Arabidopsis thaliana: one gene and its partners. The protein of the gene in region 1 purifies or fractionates together with the protein of each later gene. This does not show direct contact. Each region holds a gene or a part of one and is shown on either strand. Other genes may lie near its edges.

What was found.
Region 2: the proteins of AT5G63550 (region 1) and AT4G15770 fractionate together in Arabidopsis thaliana (co-fractionation; one large-scale study listed by BioGRID). This does not show direct contact.
Region 3: the proteins of AT5G63550 (region 1) and NOP56 fractionate together in Arabidopsis thaliana (co-fractionation; one large-scale study listed by BioGRID). This does not show direct contact.
Region 4: the proteins of AT5G63550 (region 1) and AT3G12860 fractionate together in Arabidopsis thaliana (co-fractionation; one large-scale study listed by BioGRID). This does not show direct contact.

Annotation. Positions count from the first base shown.
Region 1 is NC_003076.8:25,442,235-25,449,037, forward strand, and holds AT5G63550 (DEK domain-containing chromatin associated protein), read left to right. Parts: upstream 1-2,378; 5' UTR 2,379-2,570; coding exon 2,571-2,957; intron 2,958-3,038; coding exon 3,039-3,072; intron 3,073-3,579; coding exon 3,580-3,659; intron 3,660-3,816; coding exon 3,817-3,876; intron 3,877-3,962; coding exon 3,963-4,076; intron 4,077-4,158; coding exon 4,159-4,239; intron 4,240-4,309; coding exon 4,310-4,378; intron 4,379-4,615; coding exon 4,616-5,036; intron 5,037-5,163; coding exon 5,164-5,261; intron 5,262-5,356; coding exon 5,357-5,387; intron 5,388-5,479; coding exon 5,480-5,700; 3' UTR 5,701-5,938; downstream 5,939-6,803. Other genes in the region: RMI1 (recQ-mediated instability protein (DUF1767)), read right to left, coding at 1-87, 527-681, 849-947, 1,062-1,207, 1,344-1,514, 1,606-2,139. UniProt on the Arabidopsis thaliana protein: Chromatin-associated protein which contributes to the modulation of chromatin structure (such as super-helical structure of DNA) and function.
Region 2 is NC_003075.7:8,975,419-8,979,861, forward strand, and holds AT4G15770 (RNA binding protein), read left to right. Parts: upstream 1-2,476; 5' UTR 2,477-2,641; coding exon 2,642-3,205; 3' UTR 3,206-3,526; downstream 3,527-4,443. Other genes in the region: AT4G15765 (FAD/NAD(P)-binding oxidoreductase family protein), read right to left, coding at 365-615, 715-943, 1,197-1,395, 1,555-1,620, 1,723-1,793.
Region 3 is NC_003070.9:20,983,473-20,989,680, reverse strand, and holds NOP56 (NOP56-like pre RNA processing ribonucleoprotein), read left to right. Parts: upstream 1-2,728; 5' UTR 2,729-2,787; coding exon 2,788-2,992; intron 2,993-3,242; coding exon 3,243-3,457; intron 3,458-3,549; coding exon 3,550-3,707; intron 3,708-3,789; coding exon 3,790-3,977; intron 3,978-4,073; coding exon 4,074-4,326; intron 4,327-4,409; coding exon 4,410-4,558; intron 4,559-4,647; coding exon 4,648-4,779; intron 4,780-4,868; coding exon 4,869-5,137; 3' UTR 5,138-5,278; coding exon of another isoform or gene 5,279-5,322; 3' UTR 5,323-5,346; coding exon of another isoform or gene 5,347-5,380; 3' UTR 5,381-5,408; downstream 5,409-6,208. Other genes in the region: AT1G56120 (Leucine-rich repeat transmembrane protein kinase), read left to right, coding at 1-287, 374-572, 661-819, 944-1,062, 1,177-1,387, 1,470-1,701, 1,783-1,933, 2,022-2,393; AT1G56105 (uncharacterized protein), read right to left, coding at 5,279-5,322, 5,347-5,380, 5,572-5,627, 5,694-5,770, 5,799-5,944; AT1G56100 (Plant invertase/pectin methylesterase inhibitor superfamily protein), read left to right, coding at 5,702-5,923.
Region 4 is NC_003074.8:4,088,850-4,094,974, reverse strand, and holds AT3G12860 (NOP56-like pre RNA processing ribonucleoprotein), read right to left. Parts: upstream 3,409-6,125; 5' UTR 3,298-3,408; coding exon 3,093-3,297; intron 2,869-3,092; coding exon 2,654-2,868; intron 2,573-2,653; coding exon 2,415-2,572; intron 2,321-2,414; coding exon 2,133-2,320; intron 2,033-2,132; coding exon 1,780-2,032; intron 1,708-1,779; coding exon 1,559-1,707; intron 1,465-1,558; coding exon 1,330-1,464; intron 1,251-1,329; coding exon 1,054-1,250; 3' UTR 780-1,053; downstream 1-779. Other genes in the region: AT3G12870 (uncharacterized protein), read left to right, coding at 1-558; AT3G12850 (COP9 signalosome complex-related / CSN complex-like protein), read left to right, coding at 4,672-4,683, 4,834-5,160, 5,239-5,526, 5,813-5,931, 6,002-6,107.

The DNA of each region.
Region 1 (6,803 bases):
AAACAGTAGCTCCCACATTGGTAGAAGCAAGAGGTTCATCCATCGCCCGTGAACTATTGTGAGTTCTCGTTACATGTACGGGTATGCCTGCCATAAGTGGTTTGTTCAAAAGAGAGTTAATAGCCACTAATAATCTCAAAAGAAAGTGGTCATCTCACGTTCCAGAAAGTATTCAAGGACAGACATCATTTTCTCAGAAAGACACCAAAAACGTTTTTAATGTTGTAACTCGGCTATGGTGAAGTAAGAAAAGATCATAGGAAACACAGAACGAACCATGATTGTGCTCTAGTATGTTATAATTTATGATAATAAGCTAAAAAATGGGAATAGTCTGTTTCCTTTGATTCAAAATCTTCACTTATCCACTTTCCTGTGATGGAACAAATAATTACTCTGGTTCAGGGTTGACAGTAATGAACACTTTGACTAGTTTTGTGAACTCTACTTTTGAAACATGCAGCTACTCTTTTTGTTGACATGTAATTTTTTCTGAACAAGAAGATTAATGTAGAAACTCCCCTACCTTGATTGGCTTGAGTGTGACTAGCATTGCCCGAGGCAGAACTATTTACATGATTACCAGTATCATGTACATGATTACCAGTATCATTGCCATTTAGCGACCACGCAGCTAGAGTTGCTCTGGTTGTTAAAGAAGGAACCACTCCTACCCTTGTTCTGCAAAAGTTAAAATCAAATAAAAACTTTGACAAGAAGGGTAAAATTTACAACTGCAAATAGAAAAGACAGTTAGTAGTATGTATGTTATAAACTGTTTTAACGCGATAAAATGCAACATCTTTCAACAGAAACCAATCCAAATGCAGAATTCACTAAACGAGTACATTGTCAGGCATACTCCAAACCAGTCTCTATTCTCAAGATCAAAGAAGCTGTAGCCAAAGAAATCGGTGAAACACACTGGTTGCAAATAATCTTTCCAACTGAAGAGACATACATCATGACACAAATTTCGAATATGAAGTGAGGGGGAGAAACAAAAGCTGGAGAAATATCGAATTTTGAACAATGTAAACCAATCTTTGAATAAATCTAACCTTTTTCCTCTTGGAGGTTTGTTTACTTCAACAACCAGACGCTTTCGTGCTTCTTCTAGTTCTTCAACCATCCCTCCTAAAACTTCTACAATCTCAGGTACTAGCATTAAAAGCCCATGCCGAACTTGTACACTAGATACAACAATCTGCATTTAGCTGTTCTAGTCAGTACTTGTACTAAAAACACAGACATGTATAAATAATCTTAAAGGCTGTACAATGGCCTTAGAACAAATATTCATACAATTTTCACAACTACAATCCTCAACAAGAAACACACACCTTTAAACCAGCAGGAGCCAAGACTTGAAGATCTTTAATAGGCCTGTATTCCATACCAAAAACGCGTTGAACACCATCTGTCATAGACAGCTTAAGGCACCTCTTAAGCCCTGCATTAGCATTCTCATACCTCCCTTTGAGTGGGCAGCCAATGTTAACAATCTCATCAACCTAAATTTGAAAAATTTAAGCAAAAATGTTCAGCCAAAATCACACATTGCGCAATTATATATACAGTGTAAAAACCAAACAATCAAATAACCTGCAGAACAAACGGACCAGCGAGTTCTATACGATTCATAGACGCAACGTTCGGAGGAAGAACACCACCTCCGCATAAATTCATATCGAAAAACATAAACTGCTCGAAGCAATGCTTAGCTTTAGCTGCAACATCGAGGTAGGAAAATTGTGGAATTGAAGTTTCAAGTCCTGAAAGACAAGATACCCACCACTCCCTCTTCAATTTAATCCCCATTCGAGAAAGAACCTCACTGATCGGCGATTCATAGTCATTGCCGCTCACTGACTCCGACGGATAAACCGGATACGGTGTAGGAATACTAGAATCCGGCGGTGTAGGCTGGGGATTACCAAAAACGTCGATAATCTCAACTTCCGATATAGCGATTCTCTCACCGGGATTAGGGTTAGAATTCGACGATACTGAGGTTTCCGGTTGTATAGATGAAGCAATACCAAAGCTCTGAACAGAATCACCAACTCCGCTTGTTCCAGTTTCATCTTCTTCTTCTTCGTCGGAGGAGTACCGGAGTTGCAGGCGCCGTCTACGCATTTCTTCGCCGGCGAAATTTAGGGAATTTTATTGGTTTTCCCTCCAAAATCAATTTTCTATTTTGCTTTTTTTTTTGAAAAAGTTTGTTTAGAAGCCAGAACGCAATTGGGCTCATTAGGAGGAAAATGGGGCCTGTTATAAAATTGGGCCGAGTTTTGTTGTATGTATGTATATGTGTATGTATATAAATTTGGGTTTAGTTTTGCCGCGAGCTGAATTTGGTGAAAATATTTGGGGGTGACGAAAAGAGCCCGCCTTTGTGTTCTAATTTTTGGTACCAGAATTTTTGAAAATCCCCAAATTTTTTTGTTTCTCTTCTTCATAATCGTTGAATTAGGGTTTTACAATTTCGAGTTTCCCCAAATCTGAAATTTGAGTTTTTTTTTTTCTTGACTTTTCACGTTTTGATTCGCCTGTTGTTTGGGTTTGAAATGGCGACTGAAACCCTAGATGAGAAGACACCGGAAGTGAATTCTCCGGCGAAGGAGGAAATTGATGTTGTTCCGAAGGAGGAGAAGGAGGTAGAGAAAGAAAAAGTGGATTCGCCGAGAATTGGCGAAGCGGAGGAGGAGAAGAAGGAAGATGAAGAAGAGGGTGAAGCGAAAGAAGGAGAATTGGGTGAGAAAGATAAAGAAGACGATGTAGAAAGTGAGGAGGAAGAAGAAGAAGAAGAAGGAAGTGGAAGTAAGAAATCGTCGGAGAAGGAAACGGTGACTCCGACTAGTGAGAGACCAACGAGGGAGAGAAAGAAGGTTGAGCGTTTCTCGTTGTCGACTCCTATGCGGGCTCCACCGAGCAAGTCCGTTTCAATTGAAAAGGTAGCTTGATGGAACTTTTGTTTGTCTTTCTTATTTGTCTTTATGAGAATTGGATCAATTAGTTATGGTTTTTTGTTGTAGGGTCGTGGAACACCTCTCAGAGAAATTCCAAATGGTATGTATGAGAATCAATTTCGATTTGTGGTTGTTTTGATTGAAGTCTTGTGAATTTGTGATGTGTAGATCTAATTGTTGTTAATCAGAACGATGAACAATCTTGGCTGGTTGGCACATCTTAGATCTAGAAGATGAGATAGCTATTGTGAGATTTTTCCTGTCTGTGTTGGCATGATTATAGATAGAACCATTTCATTAGAAAAGCTTGGGCTTTTGGTCTACTTGGATACTATTACTTCTACCAATTTGATACCTATAGTCTGACTTTCTGATGGAATATCACTATTAGTCTATTAACTTGCTGTCTGTGATTTGCTTAATTTTGCTGTGGAGAAATACTCATACTCTGCACTGTTGTTGATAAGAAGATGAGATTTTTTTTTTCTTTCTTTCTTTCTCTTGTTTGTTTGTTTAGCTTGAGGGTGAAAATTTTAGTTATTTTGATAAAGACTTGTTTACATTTATTTTTGATTAGAAAGTTGTCTGATAATTTTTGCTGTTTCAGTGGCTCATAAACTATCGAAGAGAAAAGCTGATGACAACCTGATGTTACTACACACCATTCTTTTTGGGAAGAAAGCAAAGGTGCGCTAAAAGTTGCTCTTATATTCCACATATGGTAGTTATGTTTCACTTGCAAGCTTCTGTCTCTGTTAGTATGGATGTCGTCTCGGAATTTTCATTGTTTCTTTGCCAGAGTGCATAGCTACTTAAAAAGCGTTTTGTGAAAATTTCTCTACAGGCACAGATGGTTAAGAGAAACATTGGTCAATTTTCTGGCTTTGCCTGGTCAGAGAAAGAGGTATAACCCATTTCAAGTTTATTTTGTTACAGGGATGTGTATGCTGTTGTCCCTGGTGTTGAAACTTTTATTTAAATGTTTCTTAGGAGGAGAAGCAGAGAGCACGAATAAAAGAGAAGATTGACAAATGCGTAAAAGAAAAATTGATTGTTTTTTGTGATGTGCTTGATATCCCTATAAGCAGAAGTAACGTGAAAAAAGTAAGTGATAAGAAGATGTAGTCTATCTATTTATTGCACCTTGTTCTATATTCTAAGAAATCCTCTATCCTGATACTGCCAGGAAGAACTAGCTGTCAAAGTGCTTGAATTTTTGGAATCTCCCAAGGAAACTAGAGATGTTATAATTGCTGATCAAGAAAAGGTATTATTGGAATCAGTACATTATTGTTCTACATGTTCATTCTCAATGGGAGCACTGAATTCATTTTTAGCAGGCGAAAAAGCGCAAGAGTACACCAAAAAGGGGGAAATCTGGAGAATCTTCGGACACCCCTGCCAAGGTTTGTACTTTGTTATTATCTCAATTCTCTTATTTGCATTCATTGCCTGCTACTGGCGCCTTTATAGCTTGTTTTTCTTTTATTTTCCTCATATGACTGGTGTGAATTTTGATTTTAAATGTTTGGTTGGATTACCGTCATTCGCATGAATTATTATATGCTTTCTCATCTATGTGACTTGATTTATTAGTTGTTGACCATGGGTTGTACAAATATCCCTGTTTTGTTACTACGCAGAGGAAAAGGCAAACTAAAAAGCGAGATCTTCCATCTGACACGGAAGAAGGCAAGGATGAGGGAGATGCTGACTCTGAAGGAACTAATGATCCTCATGAAGAAGATGATGCAGCGCCAGAGGAAGAAAGTGACCATGAAAAGACTGACACTGACGATGAGAAAGATGAAGTAGAGGTTGAGAAACCATCCAAGAAGAAAAGCTCATCGAAAAAGACTGTAGAGGAGAGTTCAGGGTCCAAAGGTAAGGATAAGCAACCTTCTGCCAAAGGTTCTGCAAGATCTGGGGAAAAGTCCTCCAAACAAATTGCTAAGTCAACTTCATCCCCAGCTAAGAAGCAAAAAGTTGATCACGTTGAGTCTTCTAAAGAGAAAAGCAAGAAACAGCCGAGTAAGCCACAGGCTAAGGGATCTAAAGAGAAAGGTTAGAACCATTCTCAGCTGCTTCTGAGGCTTAGCCTCGTTCGATTTATGTTTTATATGAAATCATCCTATTTGTTTTTGAAGCTGATTATTTATATTTGTTCTCCTCTATCATGGATTGGAAACAGGAAAAGCCACTAAGAAAGGCAAAGCCAAAGCAGAGCCCACCAGAAAAGAGATGCTTGAAGTGGTGTCCAAAATTCTGAAGGAAGTAGACTTCAATACGGTAAGATGGTTTGATTTTCCCAAGTCCAAATACAATGTAATGGTTTAAAAAACTTGAATAGATGTTCTCATACACTTTTTTTTTCTTAATAACAGGCAACACTATCAGATATTCTGCAGAAGCTAAGTATGTTATTGGATTTTGCTTTTATTATCTATTTCGCAATTCAAATGTACAAGGAGCTTTTTGGTAACATATGCTGTTTGTGATAACGTCAGGTGACCATTTTGGTGTCGAGCTGTCGCATAGAAAACCAGAGGTGAAGGATGTTATCACAGAGGCCATAAATGCAATGACTGATGATGAAGAAGAAGATGAAGAGGAAGAAGCTGAGGCAGGAAGTGACAAAGAAAAGGAAGAAGTAAAAGGAGAGGAAGAAGAGGAAAAAGCTGAGGCTGAAAGTGACAAAGAGAAGGAAAAAGAAGAGCCAAAGGATTGAGGTTAAGAGTTTCGTTTTCCTTCGTTCAAAATCTAATGTGAAGGAAAGCAAAACTGACACAACTTTTGTGTGAACCAGAGCAAGTGAAAGTGTGTCGAATCTGTACTTTTGTACTGTGTAATCTCTATAGTCTGACTCTCATTATGTAGTTTTAAGTGTCTTTTACTTGTGTAGCTGTTACCTGTTACCTGTTAGGTTTTCTAATCCTTGTTTTATTTGATAGCCAGATACTTTAGGGAATTTTACTTCTTCTTTTCTTGGGTTTAATTTAAGACATATTCGTATATTTCATTTAATTCTGTTATCTGATTTGTGAGATCATGAAAACGAATGTTGAACTTGAAACTTGAGTGGGTTCAGAAAAACTACTCTGTATTAAAAATCCCAGTGTCACATGATAATGATCCTTCAGTAAAGGTAGACATAGCTTTTTTGCAGTGTGATATGCACAAATACAATCTATATTTTTATGTAAAAGATATATTTCTTTGAAAGTACTTATAAAAATATGTTTTTCATAAAAAAAATTATATGTAATTCTGAAAGTATGTGATATGCACAAGCACAACCTATATTTCCTACATTCAAATTCGGGTTTTTCTTGACGCCAAGTTACATTCAATTATCAATAATAGGGCTAGTTCAACTAATGCTATTTATTTATACAATCCACCCACTACTAAATCTCAATCTCCAAGGATCTTTATATATTAATAAGAAAAGCTACTATCCAAATGCGACCTTGTTCGTGAAGTGTTTGGTTTATAATTTGGTGGCTTAAGACTATAGCCCACCATTGACCCAAAAAAAGAAAGGAAAATTAATAGTAGACTATATAGCTACCAACTCCCTATAATTTACCTTGAAATTAAACCAGCTTTGTATTTTTTTAATAGAAGTCAGGGCTCTACAGTTTCATTTTAAACTTTTTTTTTTGTTATATTACATCCTGCAGGTTAGTTGTAATTTGTAAACGTAATCAACATAATAAAACCATTTACATAGACTGATTAAAGTTGATTCCATTTGATAATATTTAGCTATTTATATATCAATCAACCACCAGCTCTTAAATATATGTATTCAAATTGTTTTGTTGACTC
Region 2 (4,443 bases), on another chromosome or scaffold:
AGTAACCAACCTCATGATACAATCATCTCACGAAGCACACAACTCTCGCAATTTAGACAGTTCGTACATAAGATAAATTTATAGACTGCCACAATCATATCGAGTATGACCAATTTGATCACGAAACAGAATCATCAACATAACTACAAGCAATAGCTTCCTAACCGGCGAAGAAGCTGCTATTAAACTACCGGTAAGATAAGTTTGTGTCGAAAGCCCCACGAGTCTACCTCTTCTTTCCCTAATGTACTCATCAATTGCTTCTTCTATTTGCATCCTTGAAGAGAAGGAAGATACATTAATTATACCGTCTTGACCTAAATTTAACTTCCTCCACAAGCATCTAGCCAAAACAACACCGTCCTCAAGCGCAGCCGAACATCCTTGTCCTAAGAATGGGCCCATTAGGTGCATACTGTCTCCGGCCAACTGTCACGGTGCCACGTCGGAATTTTCCAGACAGAACATCCCAAGGAGCACGGTACCTTAAACGGTTGATATACAAAGAGTCCATATCACAATTCTTCACCATCTCTTTCCACTCTTCTGAGAATTCGCGGACTGATGCTAGTGCCAATCTTGCGATATCCTCTTGATTTTTTAAGAAGTTTGAGTCTATTTATAAAACAAATTATAAATACGTTAGTGCGTTATATGAAAACAATAGAAGTCTATGTATAGTATGAAATGTAGCATGACCGGGTTATTAATTACCTTGGGGACAATTTCGCAAAACAACAAACCAAAAGACGAGTTTGTGAGTTATAGGAAGTCGTCCGCTTACGACGTTGTCCATCTTGATTCTTATAAACTCTTGTCGGAATCCATGGTCGTCCGGGTAATTTGTGAACCCTCTGATGGCCCGCGAACCGAGGTCTTTAGTCGGGTTTAATCCTAGAAATCTAGAGACTACAGAATTTGACCCATCGCAGCCAATCAAAACCTAAATTAAAAGAAAAGTATATTATCAAAATATATAAGACCCATGCATTTCATGCTAAACATGTTGCTTTCAGTGAAAAACAAACAAAACACAAACCATTAAAACCGATCACGACCCATAAATGTCACTGTCGGCTAATATAAAGTATATACTAAAAAAATTCCACTACGGCATCACCTCAATAATTGATCAATAAATATATCTACTGTTGTTAAAACGTGCCTTTGCTTTGATAGCTTCTCCCGTTTTTAACGTGCACAATCGGAAACGATTTTGTTTCGTCGAGCTTAACCGACAAAATATGGCAACCAAGCCGGAGAGTGCCAAGAGGAAGAGCATGAGCCAAAGCTCGAACCAAGTCGTTCCTTAGTACACCTCTTACTTCTCCATAGGATGCTGGTCCAACCGATTCTCTTCGTTTAATACCTTTCTCGATCAAAACATCTCTTATCCTGTTTTAGTACCATACCGGAAATCATTATAACTAGATAAGGTTAGTTAAAATATAAATATTTATATACTTACTGATGAATTGGGAGAGACTTAAGACGAAGCTAGCTTATCGGCGACACCAAGTTGTTGAAGAGCAAGCCAGCCGTTAGTCTGAATACCAAAATGCTGCTCCTTCCGATCTTACAGACTCTGATCTCTCCAACACAACGCTCTTTATGCCCTTCCTTTATAATCATATTTGTATGTTTAGTTAGTCAATAGTTCATGTATATGTTTTCTAATTTAAATTACCTTATAATTGAGAAAATGAGGAGATTATAGTGAACCTGTGAAGAGCAAGGGAAGTTGCAAGACCAGCAATGCCTCCTCCCACGATTACTATGTCCAATTCTTCCATTCTTCTATATTTGTATTTCCTCCAAATTTTATGATCGTTATGTCCTGCAATGTCGTGGACTTATATGTGGGGGTTGAAGCCACATGGCAATATGGCATGTCGTGGTTGTACCTTGACCCGCGTATTTTTCGTTATCTATACATATTCATTCACAGCGATTTTTATTGGTATTTGTCGATTCATATATCAATTAAACTGTGTATCACACAGATCGTTATATGAAACCAATTCTGAAGAGAGAAAAAAAAGAAAAGAAAAATTTAAGCCTTCTTGTGTTAGAATTACTAATTTTAATAATTTATTTAATATTTTTACTGTATTAGTGATTAAATGTATAATTTACTTAATCTTAGAAGTATATATATATATTTAAAACAATTATTTTCTTACACGTTATACAATATTTGTAATTAATTGTATTTATTTATATTAGAAATATATATACCTTTTTCTAAAATAATATATTTTTGTTTTGTCAATTGCCCTTATAATATTAGTAATTCATTGTATGATTTCCTTATAATATTTTTACACATGAAAAAATCTCTAACTAAACATCTTTTCAATAAACTACATGAACTATCAAATTTGTTATAACTTTCAGTTATCCTCCAAAGTCCAAATATTCAAAGTGAATTATTCATGGGTTGGATTTAACAAAAATAATAATTTCGAGGTTGAAATGACAATAGATATTTTTAAAACAAAGGACCAAAGTCGAAATAACAAAACTCATCGGCCGCATTAGGTTTGGTCCTAAATCCCTAAAACCCTAAAAAAACACAATCCCTCTTAGAAACAGAGAGCTTCTCTTCTTTCTCCATTATTCATCACTTTCTTCCCCGAAGATGCGTCCTTTAGACGAGACCGAGACAACCGTCGTCTTCGAGAAGCTCTTCAAATTCGTCGGCAACAACCTCAAGAAGATCGTCGAGAACCCATCAGACGAAGGACCCGAATCTACACCCGGCAGCTACTGCTTCCGCCTCCAGAAAAACAGAGTCTACTACGTCAGCGAAGCCCTCGTGAAGCGAGCCACAAACATCTCCAGGAAAAACCTAGTCTCCTTCGGAACCTGCATCGGGAAATACACTCACGCCGGTAGTTTCCATCTGACGATTATGTCACTCAATATCTTGGCGGCGAATGCTAAACACAAGGTATGGCTTAAACCCACTTCGGAGATGTCGTTTCTTTATGGGAACCATGTCTTGAAAGGTGGATTAGGGAGGATTACTGATAGTATTGTTCCTGGAGATGGTGTTGTTGTGTTCTCGATGTCTGATGTTCCGTTAGGGTTTGGGATTGCTGCGAAGAGTACACAGGATTGTAGGAAATTGGATCCTAATGGTATTGTTGTGCTTCATCAGGCTGATATTGGAGAGTATTTGAGGGGTGAAGATGACCTTTGAAAGTTTAAAGGTTTTGTCTTTGTTGTGTCTTAGTTTGATTCTGCTTGTTGCTTTGAGTTTTAAAGTATGTAGCTGTTACAAGTTTCGTGGAACTTGGTTCTGGATCTATGAAAGTCTCGATTTTTATAAATCTGTTTTTGAGGTGTTTTGTGAGACTCTTGAGTATGTAAAAGCTAAAAAATTTACATTCATATGCGAATTTTCAAATCTGTAACCTGATGATCAAGATTTGTATTGGAGACAGGTTGAGTTTCCTGATATTGCTTTGATTTTTATACTTAAAAGCTTCAAATTCTTCATCAAGCTTGAAACTTTGGAAATTTACATACATATGCTAATTTTCAAATCTGTAACCCTAATGATTCAGATATGTGTTGGAGACAGATTGATTATGCTGATTTTTGAGACAGATTGATTATGCTGATTTTTGAGACAGATTGATTATGCTGATTTTTCTTTGGTTTTATAGTCCAAAAGCTTCAAATTGTTTTCAAGCTTCAAACTTTGGCCTTTGAGTATTAAGGGTATGTGACTGTCACAAATTTTGTGGAACATGGTATTGTATCTATGAAAGTCTCAATTGTTCTCAAACAAGAGTATCGAGAAGCTACAATTGTAAGCTGATGAATCAGTTTTCTGTATGGAAACAGATTGCTTGCTTTGATTTAAAACTTCAAAACTTATTACTGGGCATATAGGTTGTGTACTGCTGCCAAATAATCTGGAGAAGAGATGTTTAAACCAATTAAGTTCTGAAATCTTTCTGAAACAGATTGCATAACTTTTTGGGAAAGATATTGAGGGTGTTCTTTGAATAAATATGTTGTACACTGAAAATTTCCCACATTAAGAGTAGGGGATTGATATTCATCATCTTTTCAAACGTAATCTTGTAAAGTTCAACTTCAACCCAAAGTCTTGGCCTTTGTACGTTTGTTCCTCACTTGGGAATTGGGATGCAAAGCTGTGTTGCAAAATGTTTAGAAATAATATTTACTGTTATATAGTTTTTCTGGTATCATTAGTCACAAAGCCCGTCTAGCTCAGTTGGTAGAGCGCAAGGCTCTTAACCTTGTGGTCGTGGGTTCGAGCCCCACGGTGGGCGCTTTGTTTTTGTTTTTTTAATCCAAATTTGATCATATTCTGATTTTAGTTTTGAGTACCTTGACTAGTGACTCTTGAGCATGTGTTTTATGCAAGTTTTAAGATATCCTCGCCTTTAATTACGCTACGTAGAA
Region 3 (6,208 bases), on another chromosome or scaffold:
CTTCGTTTGTTGTGAGTGCTGCAAAGAGATGGGCAGCCAGTAGTGTAGGAAATTTTGCTGGCAGTAGCAACAATATATACATAGCTACTTCACTAGCACAATTTATCAACACTATGGACTCAGAGCTTTTTCAGTCAGCACGACTTTCTGCATCTTCCCTAAGGTATTATGGGTTGGGGCTAGAAAATGGAGGGTACACCGTAACACTTCAGTTTGCTGAAGTACAAATTGAAGGTTCTAACTCTTGGAAAGGTATTGGAAGACGACGTTTTAACATTTATGTCCAGGTCTGCACCACTTGATCGAGCTTTCCGGTTCACAAATGTTACTTTTTGGTTCTGATGAATTCTAAGATCTAGCTCCATTTTTCCAGGGAAGACTTGTTGAAAAGGATTTTGATATACGCAGAACAGCTGGTGGCTCTTCGGTTCGAGCAGTTCAGAGAGAATATAAAACAAATGTATCAGAAAATCATCTCGAAGTCCATCTTTTCTGGGCTGGAAAAGGAACATGTTGTATTCCTATCCAAGGGGCTTATGGGCCATTAATAGCGGCCGTCAGTGCGACACCAGGTAACACAAACGGTTGATATATTTTTTTTCCTCTGATTTTCACTATCTCCCGATACTAGTTAGTGCCGTGTCACATATTCTTGTTCAGATTTCACACCAACTGTGGCTAATAGGCCACCATCAAAGGGAAAGAGCAGGACTGGTACTATTGTGGGTGTCATTGTTGGTGTTGGACTTTTGAGCATCTTTGCGGGTGTGGTTATCCTCGTCATTCGAAAAAGAAGAAAACCGTACACAGATGATGAAGGTACAGATGTAATAAGAACATAAACAAGCCCTTGAGCTGAATAACTTTAGCTCTCTGATCAAAATTAAAGTTGACTATCATCTGTTAAATTGGTTGATTTTAAGTAGTGAATTTTTTATGGCAGAGATACTTAGTATGGACGTAAAGCCTTACACCTTTACTTACTCGGAACTTAAGAATGCAACACAAGATTTTGATCTCTCAAACAAGCTTGGAGAGGGAGGGTTTGGGGCTGTTTATAAGGTAAGTCCCTTACTGAATCGAACAAAATAGCTGTATATTTTTCTGAGATACTAGGAAAGAAGGGTACATGTAATACCTTTTAATACGTTTTGTTTTGAATAACACGTTCAACAGGGAAACCTCAATGATGGAAGAGAGGTGGCGGTGAAGCAGTTGTCAATTGGATCACGGCAAGGGAAGGGACAATTTGTTGCAGAAATTATTGCAATTTCTTCAGTTCTACATCGCAACCTAGTAAAACTTTACGGGTGCTGCTTTGAAGGAGATCATCGTTTGCTCGTATATGAGTATCTCCCTAATGGAAGTCTCGATCAGGCATTATTTGGTAATGAACAGAAACATGACTTACCTATCTCTGCTTCTGCCAAGCTAAAGTAATCATTATGCCATTGGGTTGGATGTTACAGGGGATAAGAGTTTGCATCTTGATTGGTCAACCCGTTATGAGATATGTCTGGGAGTAGCCAGAGGTCTAGTTTATCTCCACGAGGAAGCAAGTGTTCGCATAATACACAGAGATGTGAAGGCCAGCAACATTTTACTGGACTCTGAACTGGTCCCAAAAGTTTCTGATTTTGGGCTTGCAAAACTATATGATGACAAGAAAACCCATATTAGTACCAGAGTGGCAGGGACGATGTAAGCAAAATCCATAGACCCTGACATTTTGTTTGCAACACAATTATGGCTTTATAGCTCATGTTAGTTGTATCAATGCAGTGGGTATCTTGCGCCAGAGTATGCCATGCGTGGACATCTAACAGAGAAAACAGATGTGTATGCCTTTGGTGTTGTGGCTCTTGAGCTAGTGAGTGGAAGGAAAAACTCTGATGAGAACCTGGAAGAGGGAAAAAAATATCTTCTTGAATGGGTACGTCTATATTTGTCATATAGGCGAAGTTGAAGATGGTGTGATAAATGACAAAAGCCGATAATCCTTTTGTATTTCTTGTATACAGGCATGGAATCTACACGAGAAAAACCGTGACGTTGAACTAATAGATGATGAGCTAAGTGAATACAACATGGAAGAAGTGAAACGCATGATTGGCATTGCTCTGCTTTGCACTCAGTCATCTTATGCGTTGAGACCACCAATGTCACGAGTAGTAGCCATGTTGTCAGGAGATGCTGAGGTCAATGATGCCACCTCTAAGCCAGGCTACCTAACCGACTGTACATTTGATGACACCACAAGCTCCTCATTCAGCAACTTTCAAACGAAAGACACTAGCTTCTCGACGAGCTTTATAGCGCCTGGCCCGGAGATGCCACTTAGAGACGGCGAATCGAAGCCAATGGTTGGATTCAAGATCAAGGAGGGAAGATGAAGATTGTCCCCTCTATAATTTGATATGCTTGTATATGGAAGTTGACAATTTTCTTCTATATAAGGATGTGGAGAAACAGATTTCACTTTCATTCAATAATAATATTTTAGTTGACAATTTTTCAATTTTTGTAACAAACTTTTGATATCTTGCAAGGATGACCAAAAAAAAAAAAAAAAAAAAAAAAAAAGAAAGTTAACCTGTTGTGATGGGCCGGGCATTTTATAAGCTAGTACAACTAACACACCGTTAAATGGGCCTGGCCCATTGAATTTTTCAAGAGCAGCGCCATCAACAGATGCGCTTATTAAACCCCTGAAACCCTAGTTTCGTTCGTTGTATATTTCTTCTCGCTCAGTAGGTCTTTAGGGTTTTAGTTTCTTCTCCTCAAAAAATGGCGATGTATGTTATCTACGAGTCTTCTTCCGGCTATGGTCTCTTCGAGGTTCACGGACTAGATGAGATCGGACAGAACACTGAGGCGGTTCGGACTTCTGTCTCCGACCTCAGTCGCTTTGGCCGTGTTGTTCAGCTCACAGCGTTTCATCCCTTTGAGTCTGCTCTCGATGCTCTCAACCAAGTCAACGCCGTCTCTGAAGGTCAGACTCTTCATTACTCTCTTCTTATTCTTTGTTCTGTATATTCATGTGTTGTGTTGAGTAGCTTGTTCTTGTATTTAGAGCTAGAGTAGACACTTCGATTTAAAACCTTATAGTTCAAATTTCCTGGATATATTGTAGAAAGAGCTTTAATTTATGGTTGATTCTTGTTTTTGTGTTCTGTTTTTGTTTCATTGTTTTGGTTTTGTCATTGATGCTTTTGGAATTGGTTTTAATGTGATATTGGTAGGTGTTATGACTGATGAGCTTAGAAGTTTTCTGGAGTTGAATCTTCCTAAGGTCAAGGAGGGAAAGAAACCCAAGTTCAGTTTAGGATTGGCTGAGCCTAAACTCGGTTCACATATATTTGAAGCTACTAAAATCCCATGCCAGAGCAATGAGTTTGTTCTTGAGCTTCTCAGAGGTGTTCGCCAGCATTTTGATAGGTTTATCAAGGACTTAAAGGTGTGATCTCCTTTCTATGTGTTTAAAATCTTTTTGTCTGTTTGCTTATCTCATATGGTTTGTGTTCTCATAAAAAATTTCTGTTTATGTAGCCTGGTGATCTTGAAAAATCTCAGCTTGGATTAGCTCACAGCTACAGCAGAGCCAAGGTGAAGTTCAATGTTAACCGAGTGGATAACATGGTTATTCAAGCTATCTTCATGCTTGACACGCTTGATAAGGATATCAATTCCTTTGCCATGAGAGTCAGGTTTGTTTTGTGCTTTTCCCTTTCAGATTGTGTGTTTTCCTCGAGAAAATTGGTAGCTGAACTGTTTATAATGTTATTACAGGGAATGGTATTCGTGGCACTTCCCCGAACTAGTGAAGATAGTCAATGACAACTATCTTTACGCCCGTGTTTCAAAGATGATTGATGACAAGTCAAAGTTGACTGAAGATCACATCCCCATGCTTACTGAAGTCTTAGGGGATGAAGATAAGGCAAAGGAGGTCATCGAAGCTGGAAAAGCATCCATGGGTAAAAATTTTGAGCTGACTTTTTTGGTAGCTTTGAGTTAATGTGTGTTTCTGTTAACTTATGTCCTGAGACATTTACTCTCTTCCCTATTGGCAGGCTCGGATTTATCACCGCTTGACTTAATCAACGTACAGACCTTTGCTCAGAAAGTTATGGACCTTGCTGACTACAGGAAGAAGCTCTATGATTATCTTGTCACTAAGATGAGCGACATTGCCCCTAATTTGGCTGCTTTGATTGGAGAAATGGTCGGTGCCCGTTTGATTTCACATGCTGGAAGTCTGACTAACCTTGCTAAATGCCCATCTTCCACCCTCCAGATTCTTGGAGCCGAGAAGGCTCTTTTCAGGTGCAATATCTGGCACTATATTTTTAATGTTCACCAGTTTCCTTTTAGTGCTGCTTGTGACATGAACTGCTGTGGTATTTCAGGGCACTTAAAACACGTGGAAACACTCCCAAGTATGGATTGATTTTCCATTCTTCCTTCATTGGCCGAGCATCTGCTAAGAACAAGGGCCGTATCGCTCGTTATCTTGCAAACAAGTGCTCTATAGCATCCCGGATTGATTGTTTTGCTGGTAAAAATCTGAAACTCCTTGAAGAAGAGTTTTGGATTATGAATTCTGTTGTGAAAGTGTTAAATTATGTGCCCTGATGTCCTATGCAGATGGTGCAACTACTGCTTTTGGTGAGAAGCTTCGCGAACAAGTTGAGGAAAGGCTAGAATTTTATGACAAAGGTGTTGCCCCACGCAAGAACGTGGATGTAATGAAGGAGGTGATAGAGAATCTAAAGCAAGGTATTTCTTGTAGCTGTTTTTTTTTGGTTGTAATCAGAGTCCTCTTTATGATGGCAAACTCAGTGTTTTTTTATCTGTTCCTCCTTTAGAAGAGGAAGGGAAGGAGCCAGTTGATGCCTCGGTGAAGAAAAGCAAGAAGAAGAAGGCAAAGGGTGAAGAAGAAGAAGAGGTGGTGGCAATGGAGGAGGACAAGTCAGAGAAAAAGAAGAAGAAAGAGAAGAGGAAGATGGAGACTGCAGAGGAGAACGAGAAATCAGAGAAGAAGAAGACAAAGAAGAGTAAAGCTGGAGGAGAAGAGGAGACTGATGATGGTCACAGCACCAAGAAGAAGAAGAAGAAGTCTAAGAGCGCTGAATAGAAAGGGATGCAACATTAACAAACCCTGTATTGTATTTTTTTTTTGAGCTAAATTAATGTCGTCTGTTTTTCGTAGTGAACATCGGAGAATTTTTGTTTTGGTCTGGAAACGATTCAAGGTTTGGCAATATCTTAAGTTTGTTTAGGTTTTCACTATTTTGACGTTTGCAACCGTGAAGGAGGCTCCTCCATTTTATAAAATACAATTACCAATTCCAGTGCTTTGCAAATGTTTCAATAATAGCTAAACTAACTACCAAATTGGAAAACTAGCTTAACAAGTTTGTGAAAATGAATTTGGAGCCATATGATTTATTATTTTACCCAAATGGAGTAATAGAAGAAGAGCAGCTCGCGTTTGAATGGTCAGTTAACATTAACAAAAGGTAAAATTGAATAGATGTTAAAACTTGTGTAAGTAAACAATAGAGCTACCTCCTTTTGAGAAGGATAGATAAACTCGTGACCAACCACATTCCCAGTCCCATATTCTTAGTACAAATAAGAAATTCACACCCCTCAAAGAAATATAACATAATCAATCATAGGAAATATACTTCGCATAATGACGATAATGATCAAGTTTCTCCTGTTAGCTCTGCTCGTGATCTCTCCGATTTGCGCCGAGAAGGACCTGATGAAAGAGGAATGCCATAATGCACAAGTTCCGACCATTTGCATGCAATGTCTTGAATCCGACCCAACCTCCGTTCATGCAGACCGTGTTGGCATCGCCGAGATCATCATACACTGTCTCGACTCTCGTCTCGATATCATCACCAAGCAAGTTTTCCCTTCTAATAACCATACATATATATTAACTTAGATATATGACAATATTCTCTAACTAATATATCAATCTTTTTATTGTTCTAGTAACATTACAAATATATTGTCACTGGGAGGAGGAACGAAAGAAGTGAGAAAAATCTTGGAGGATTGCAGAAATGACACGTCGACGGTGGCACCTAAACTACTGTCGGAAGCCAAAACAGGTCTGAAAACCGGTGATTACGACAAAGCCGCCAAATCGATAGAGTATGCTAGCATTCCTCATAGCTGTGGATTAAAG
Region 4 (6,125 bases), on another chromosome or scaffold:
CAGATCGCAGATACACCAACACACAAGCTTCTCCTGAAACAATGGTTAAAAGAAGAAGAGCTAATTCTAAGCCGTGTCTCTCACAAAGAATCTCAGATCGATTCTGTTCGAAGAGAAATCACTCAGCTCTACATCTTCTTCTTTCTCTTCCACTCCATTTCTCTGCTACTTCTCTTCCACGCTTCTTCATCCTCATCTTCCTCTGCTTCTTCCAGTGCTTGTAAAAGATCATGGATCCCTTCACTCTGCGCTCTGCTATCTTCCTTGGGGATCATTTGGGCGGTACGGTACAAATCTGAAGTGGAATCGCATCTTGAGAAGTTGTTGGAGAGGGAGAAAGAAGATGCGAAGCTGTTGCGTAAATGTGTTGAAGAGTTGAAGAAGAAAGGTATCGAATTTGATTTGCTTAAGGAAGTGGATGCGCTTCGTAGAGCCAAGAGTTTAAGAGTTGAGTCGAAGCCTGTGAAGAAATGGTCTGCTAGGGATTTTGTGACGCTCTTCTTCTTCTCTGTTTCGTGTTTGGTTCTTGCCATGATTAGACTCATTCTCTGCGATTGATTCTTTTGCTCTTTTGTTGCTATGCTTTAGCAGAATTCTCTGGTTTCTGCAATTTTAGTGATAATAAAGAAAAACAACATGTTTGATTCATCTCCTTCAATCCTTTTTTGTAATGTTAATTTGTTTTGTCGACATTTTCAAAGAATTGAGCAAAAACATATCCATACATACTTGAAGATCCATTTCAACATCAACAAAAATTTGATCATCTTCAAAAGTTAAAAACCAGACCTGATAAATAATCAAAAGCTTGTTCTTTTGTTTAAGACAGACTCAATTGTAGAAAATCTGATAATTATATATGTTTTTAGTTGTTTTTAAGTCATAAACTCGCAAGACAGAGACTCAAGCTTGTTTTCATTTGGCTAAGACAGACTTAATTCAAAAGTAGAAAACCTTATCTAATTTGCGCTATGTTTAAAGTTGTTCTTAAAGTCAAAACCCTATGTAGAAGAAAGAAAACTAAAAACTAGTGTATTACACAGACTTGTTTGTTTATTCATCATCTTGTGACTTAGTTTTCTTCTTCTTCTTGCTATGGCCATTATCTGTTGCTGTCAATTCCTCTCCTTCTACTGCTTTGCTTTTCTTTTTCTTTTTCTTTGATTTCTCCTCTTCCTTCTCCTCCTCCTTCTCCTCTGTCTTTCTCTTCTTTTTCTTCTCCGAAGCATCCACTGTTTTTTCTCCCTCGTCTTAAAAAAAGAAGAAACAACCCATCAAACAAAACCGTTTACCACAACAGATCAGAGAGCTTTGTTGGGTCATATGTACCTTTCTTCTCAAGATTTTCCAACACTTCTTTCATTACATCAACATTCTTACGTGGGGCAACACCTTTGTCATAAAAGTCAAGTCTTTCCTCTACTTGTTCCCTTAGTTTCTCACCGAAAGCTGTAGTGCTGTTATCTGCATAACACAACCACCATGATTTTGTAGTTAATAACAACGCATCATCTCCCAAACACCTCTCTCTTATTCAGGACATTCTCTAGATTATTACCTGAGAAACAATCAATCCGGGAAGCAATGGAACACTTGTTTGCAAGGAAACGAGCAATACGGCCCTTGTTTTTAGCAGATGCACGCCCGATGAATGATGAATGGAATATTAGACCATATTTGGGTGTGTTTCCACGTGTTTTCAGTGCCCTGAAATTAACACCAAAGTTAGTTACTGCAGTGTAATTAAACTTGTAAAGACTAACAAAGCTTGAAATGCACCTGAAAAGTGCCTTCTCAGCACCGAGAATCTGGAGGGTTGAAGATGGGCACTTGGCAAGATTTGTCAGACTTCCTGCATGTGAAATCAACCTAGCCCCAACCATCTCTCCGATCAAGGCCGCCAAATTTGGAGCAATGTCACTCATTTTAGTAACAAGATAATCATAGAGCTTCTTCCTGTAATCTGCAAGGTCCATAACTCTCTGAGCAAAGGTCTGGACATTGATCAGATCAACCGGTGATAAATCCTGGCCTTCAAATAGAGAAAACAACAATGTCTTAGAACATGAGAAACAATAGATATATTGTAAAGATTCATGATTCTTATCGAACATGCTACATCAGTTTATTACCCATAGATGCTTTTCCAGCTTCAATAACCTCTCTTGCCTTATCTTCATCACCCAGGGCTTCAGTAAGCATAGGGATGTGCTCTTCAGACAACTTTGACTTGTCGACGATAATCTTTGAAACTTTGGCGTAGAGGTAGTTGTCATTAACTATCTTGACAAGCTCAGGGAAGTGCCATGAGTACCATTCTCTGCAAAAACATAATATGAGCTGCTCAGAAACCATTTTCTCTTACGGTAACAGACAAGACATAATCTGAAAGGCAAAACAATAAGAAAACAAACCTGACTCTCATAGCAAAGGAATTGATATCCTTATCAAGTGTGTCAAGCATGAAAATAGCTTGAATAACCATGTTATCCACCCGGTTAACATTGAACTTCACCTTTGCTCTGCTGTAGCTATGAGCTAGTCCAAGTTGAGCTTTTTCCAAATCACCAGGCTACATTATAAAGAAGATGATATTGAGCACGAATAGCAAAAATATGTGTAGGTATTAGGTAATCAAAAATAAAAAACACACCTTCAAGTCTTTGATGAACCTATCGAAATGCTGACGCACACCTCTAAGGAGCTCATGGACAAACTCATTGCTCTGGCAAGGAATTTTGGTAGCTTCAAAAATGCAAGAACCGATTTTAGGCTCAGACACTCCCAAACTAAACTTGGGCTTCTTGCCTTCCTTCACTTTCGGGAGATTCAGCTCCAGAAAACTTCTCAGCTCATCGCTCATGTATCCTACGATTTTTAAGGTGTAAAAACAATACAAATATTAATACTTTATTATCAAGACCTCCAGCAAAAGCTAAAACAGAACAGAATAAGCTGATTCCAACAGTAGTAAGAGCTCAATTTCTAAGAATTAAGCTCTTTCCAGCATAAACTATAATAGAAGCAAGTAATAAAGTATATGGTGCAGGAAACTAAAGAGGGAAAGAGCTGTAATTTAGTAGTGAGTTCACCTTCAGAGACGGCGTTGATTTGGTTAAGAGCATCGAGTGCAGACTGGAACGGGTGAAAAGCAGTGAGCTGGACGACCCGCCCGAACCGACTAAGGTCCGAGACGGAGCTCCGAACCGCCTCCGTGTTCTGTCCAATCTCATCGGAACCGTGTCCCTCGAACAATCCGTAGCCGGAGGGTGATTCGGAAAGAAGATAAATCTTCATTGTAGAGAGAATTCTGTAAAAACCCTAGCCGTCTTTTTCAAAATTGATTTGAAAATCGAGTATTTATGCAGTTTCCGTTTCGGAGAAGAATAAGAGAAATTAGGGTTTAAGGTTATTTCGCACGGAAGATGATGCGGCTTTGCTCTTAGATTAACTACATGGGCCTGGCCCATTAATTCTATCGGACTCAACCAAAATGACTAGCATGGGTCAATGGTCTTCATGTAAGGAAAAAAAAACAAGCTTTTGTTATACAAAGAGGGAAAAGTTTAGGTGGTCTCAGGTGAAGTACACGCGCGTGGGCTTCAGTTACTGTGGAAGGGCCCGTACCAGATCATATCAGTTAGTAATATAAACAAACTAATTGATCCGTTACAGAGTTGAGAGTCGTCTTCTTTCTTGTTGATCATCTTCTTCTTCTTTCTCCTGTAAAATTAATCTGTAACAGAGAGAAAGAGAGATACAAGAGAGATAGAAGGTCCTGTAGTCACATCATCGAAGGGATTGCTGAAGACCGTACGTGTGAGTTCTTAAGATTCTTTCGCTCAAGAATCTGCAACAGAACAAGACGATTAGCTCAACTAGTGAATCAATTATACTCGTACAGATTCAATTTGCGAAATCTCTCGATTAGAAAGAGGAACTGAGGTCAGTTTAACTCTTCTTTATTCCCAAATCGTGCAAAGTTGCGGTAAATGTAATGTTTCGATTGAAGCTTTTGACTTTGATGCATGGGTTTATTTGTTATGTAAAATCATATTGCAGTAGAAACTTAGCTTCATCTTTTATGCTAGTAAATGAGATCTATCTCTCAGAACTGTTAATTTGTGTTGTTGGGACACTTCTCTAACTTTCTTTGTGTTTCTTGAATAGGAAGCAATCGTCGTTTAAATTTATTAATCGTCATAGATTCAATTTGGAGAAATTCTATCGCTTAGCAAGATAAACAGGTAACTTCAACTATTTTTCTTTCCAAATCGTGCAAAGTTTCTTTGATTGAATCTTTTGATTTTGGTGAATGATTTTGTTTTTGTGACATAATTCGTTTTTGTAGCAGACTTACTTAATTTTTCATGCAATTAAATGAGATTTCTCTCTCGGAACAGTTAATCTGTGTTACTTTCTTTAATGTTTCTTGCATGTGAAGTAATCTCCGTTTAGAGTTAATCTTGTCAGTTTTAATTTGGAGAATCCATCGACTAGCTAGATTAACAGAGCATTGAGTTTGGTAGAAAAATATTGTTTATGACACACACAAATTTGTTTTCGCAGCAGAAACTTAGCTTAGTTAATTTGTTAATCAGATTTAACTTCATTTATCTTTCTTAAGTGTTTCTTGCAGACTAAGTATTGAAAAAACTATTGGTTAACAAGATGGATATTGAGGTAATTTTAAATAGTTTTTTTTTTTTCAGTTTAGTTCGTGCAATGTTGCGTTTTACTGTAAAATCTATTGGGTTATTGTTGTCAACAAAAAAGAAGAAGAACATATTGTTATCGTTAAGTTGAAAATCTTGTTTAATGACCTTTACTTAGGGTGATGATCAATTGGACTTGGATGTGGAAGCTTATTCACGAAACTACGAAGGACGAAACCTAGTGCTGAGGCTACTTCATATCGCAGAGAATTCTGTTGGCCCGATGTTCACTGACGATTTGGAACTTGAAGCCCTTCGACTTGCCTATGATCTTATCCGGAATGACGGAATTGTCTGTGACATGCGTTTGTTCACAGTTATAGCTGAAAAAATACAAGGCAGATTAGGAGAAGGTTATCTCTTGGATGAAAAATGGCGTCTTACTAAGAACAACAATTTCGTCAAACAAGACAGCATTCTAAGAAACGACTTAGAAAGTGCTACGGTAAGGAAAAGTGACTATAAAACTTTGCTTGCGCAACAAGATTCCATATTGTACATCTAATCTTCTATTCTTTTGCAGGACGAACTCGAAAAAGACCGTCTTGCACTTCGTCAGTATTGGCTCCATTACCACTGTGGCCAAATGGCGATCGTTTTCCGACCATATCCCCGGCAGGTCCAAACTATCGATGCTTACATGGCTACACTATTGGTGGCCCTCGAGACCCGCAACTTTGGGGAGCTTCCCCACCGAAGTGTCGAACAGATAGCTTACTGCAACGTAAAAAGGGCATATGGCTTCAAAATTGACTGCTTTAAGTCTCTTTCTAATCTTTTAGAAAGCAAGTATCAAGTTACTGCGGAAGGGGTAAAAATTCTCCTTAACTTTAACACAGTTTTTTTTATTAATATTAAATTGTGATTCGTTATCTAAATTTTATCTATATAATGTAGTTTGTACAGCTTTGGAAAGAAGTAGACAATTATAATTATAGGGAGGTGATCTCATCAGAAGATATTGTTCTCTTTGGACTAGTCTGTGCAATGGCTACATTTAGTAAATCCACACTTCAAGTACGTAATAAATTTTTGTGACCACTTAATTTTATTATGGGTAGCCCACATTTAACTTAAAACTCATTGTATTTTTGTAGAATGCCGTTGATACAATCGTTAACCCTATCGGGCAAGTCGCTAGTCATTTGGAAAACGTTATCAAACCGTTTGGGCCATGTGACTATCTAATTGATGTCATCAAGAAGTTACTTGCTGGGTAAGTACTTTTTTTGTATATATACTTGGCAGATAAGTGCTTTGGTTTGATTTTTATTTAACGTGAACAGGCACTTCACTGATTGCATGACACTGCTGGAGAAACAAAGACCGAGACTTCTCCTAGATTTCTACCTTAGAGATCACGTTGATAACTTACTATCAATGATGAGGGATGTAATAATCGTGGACTAT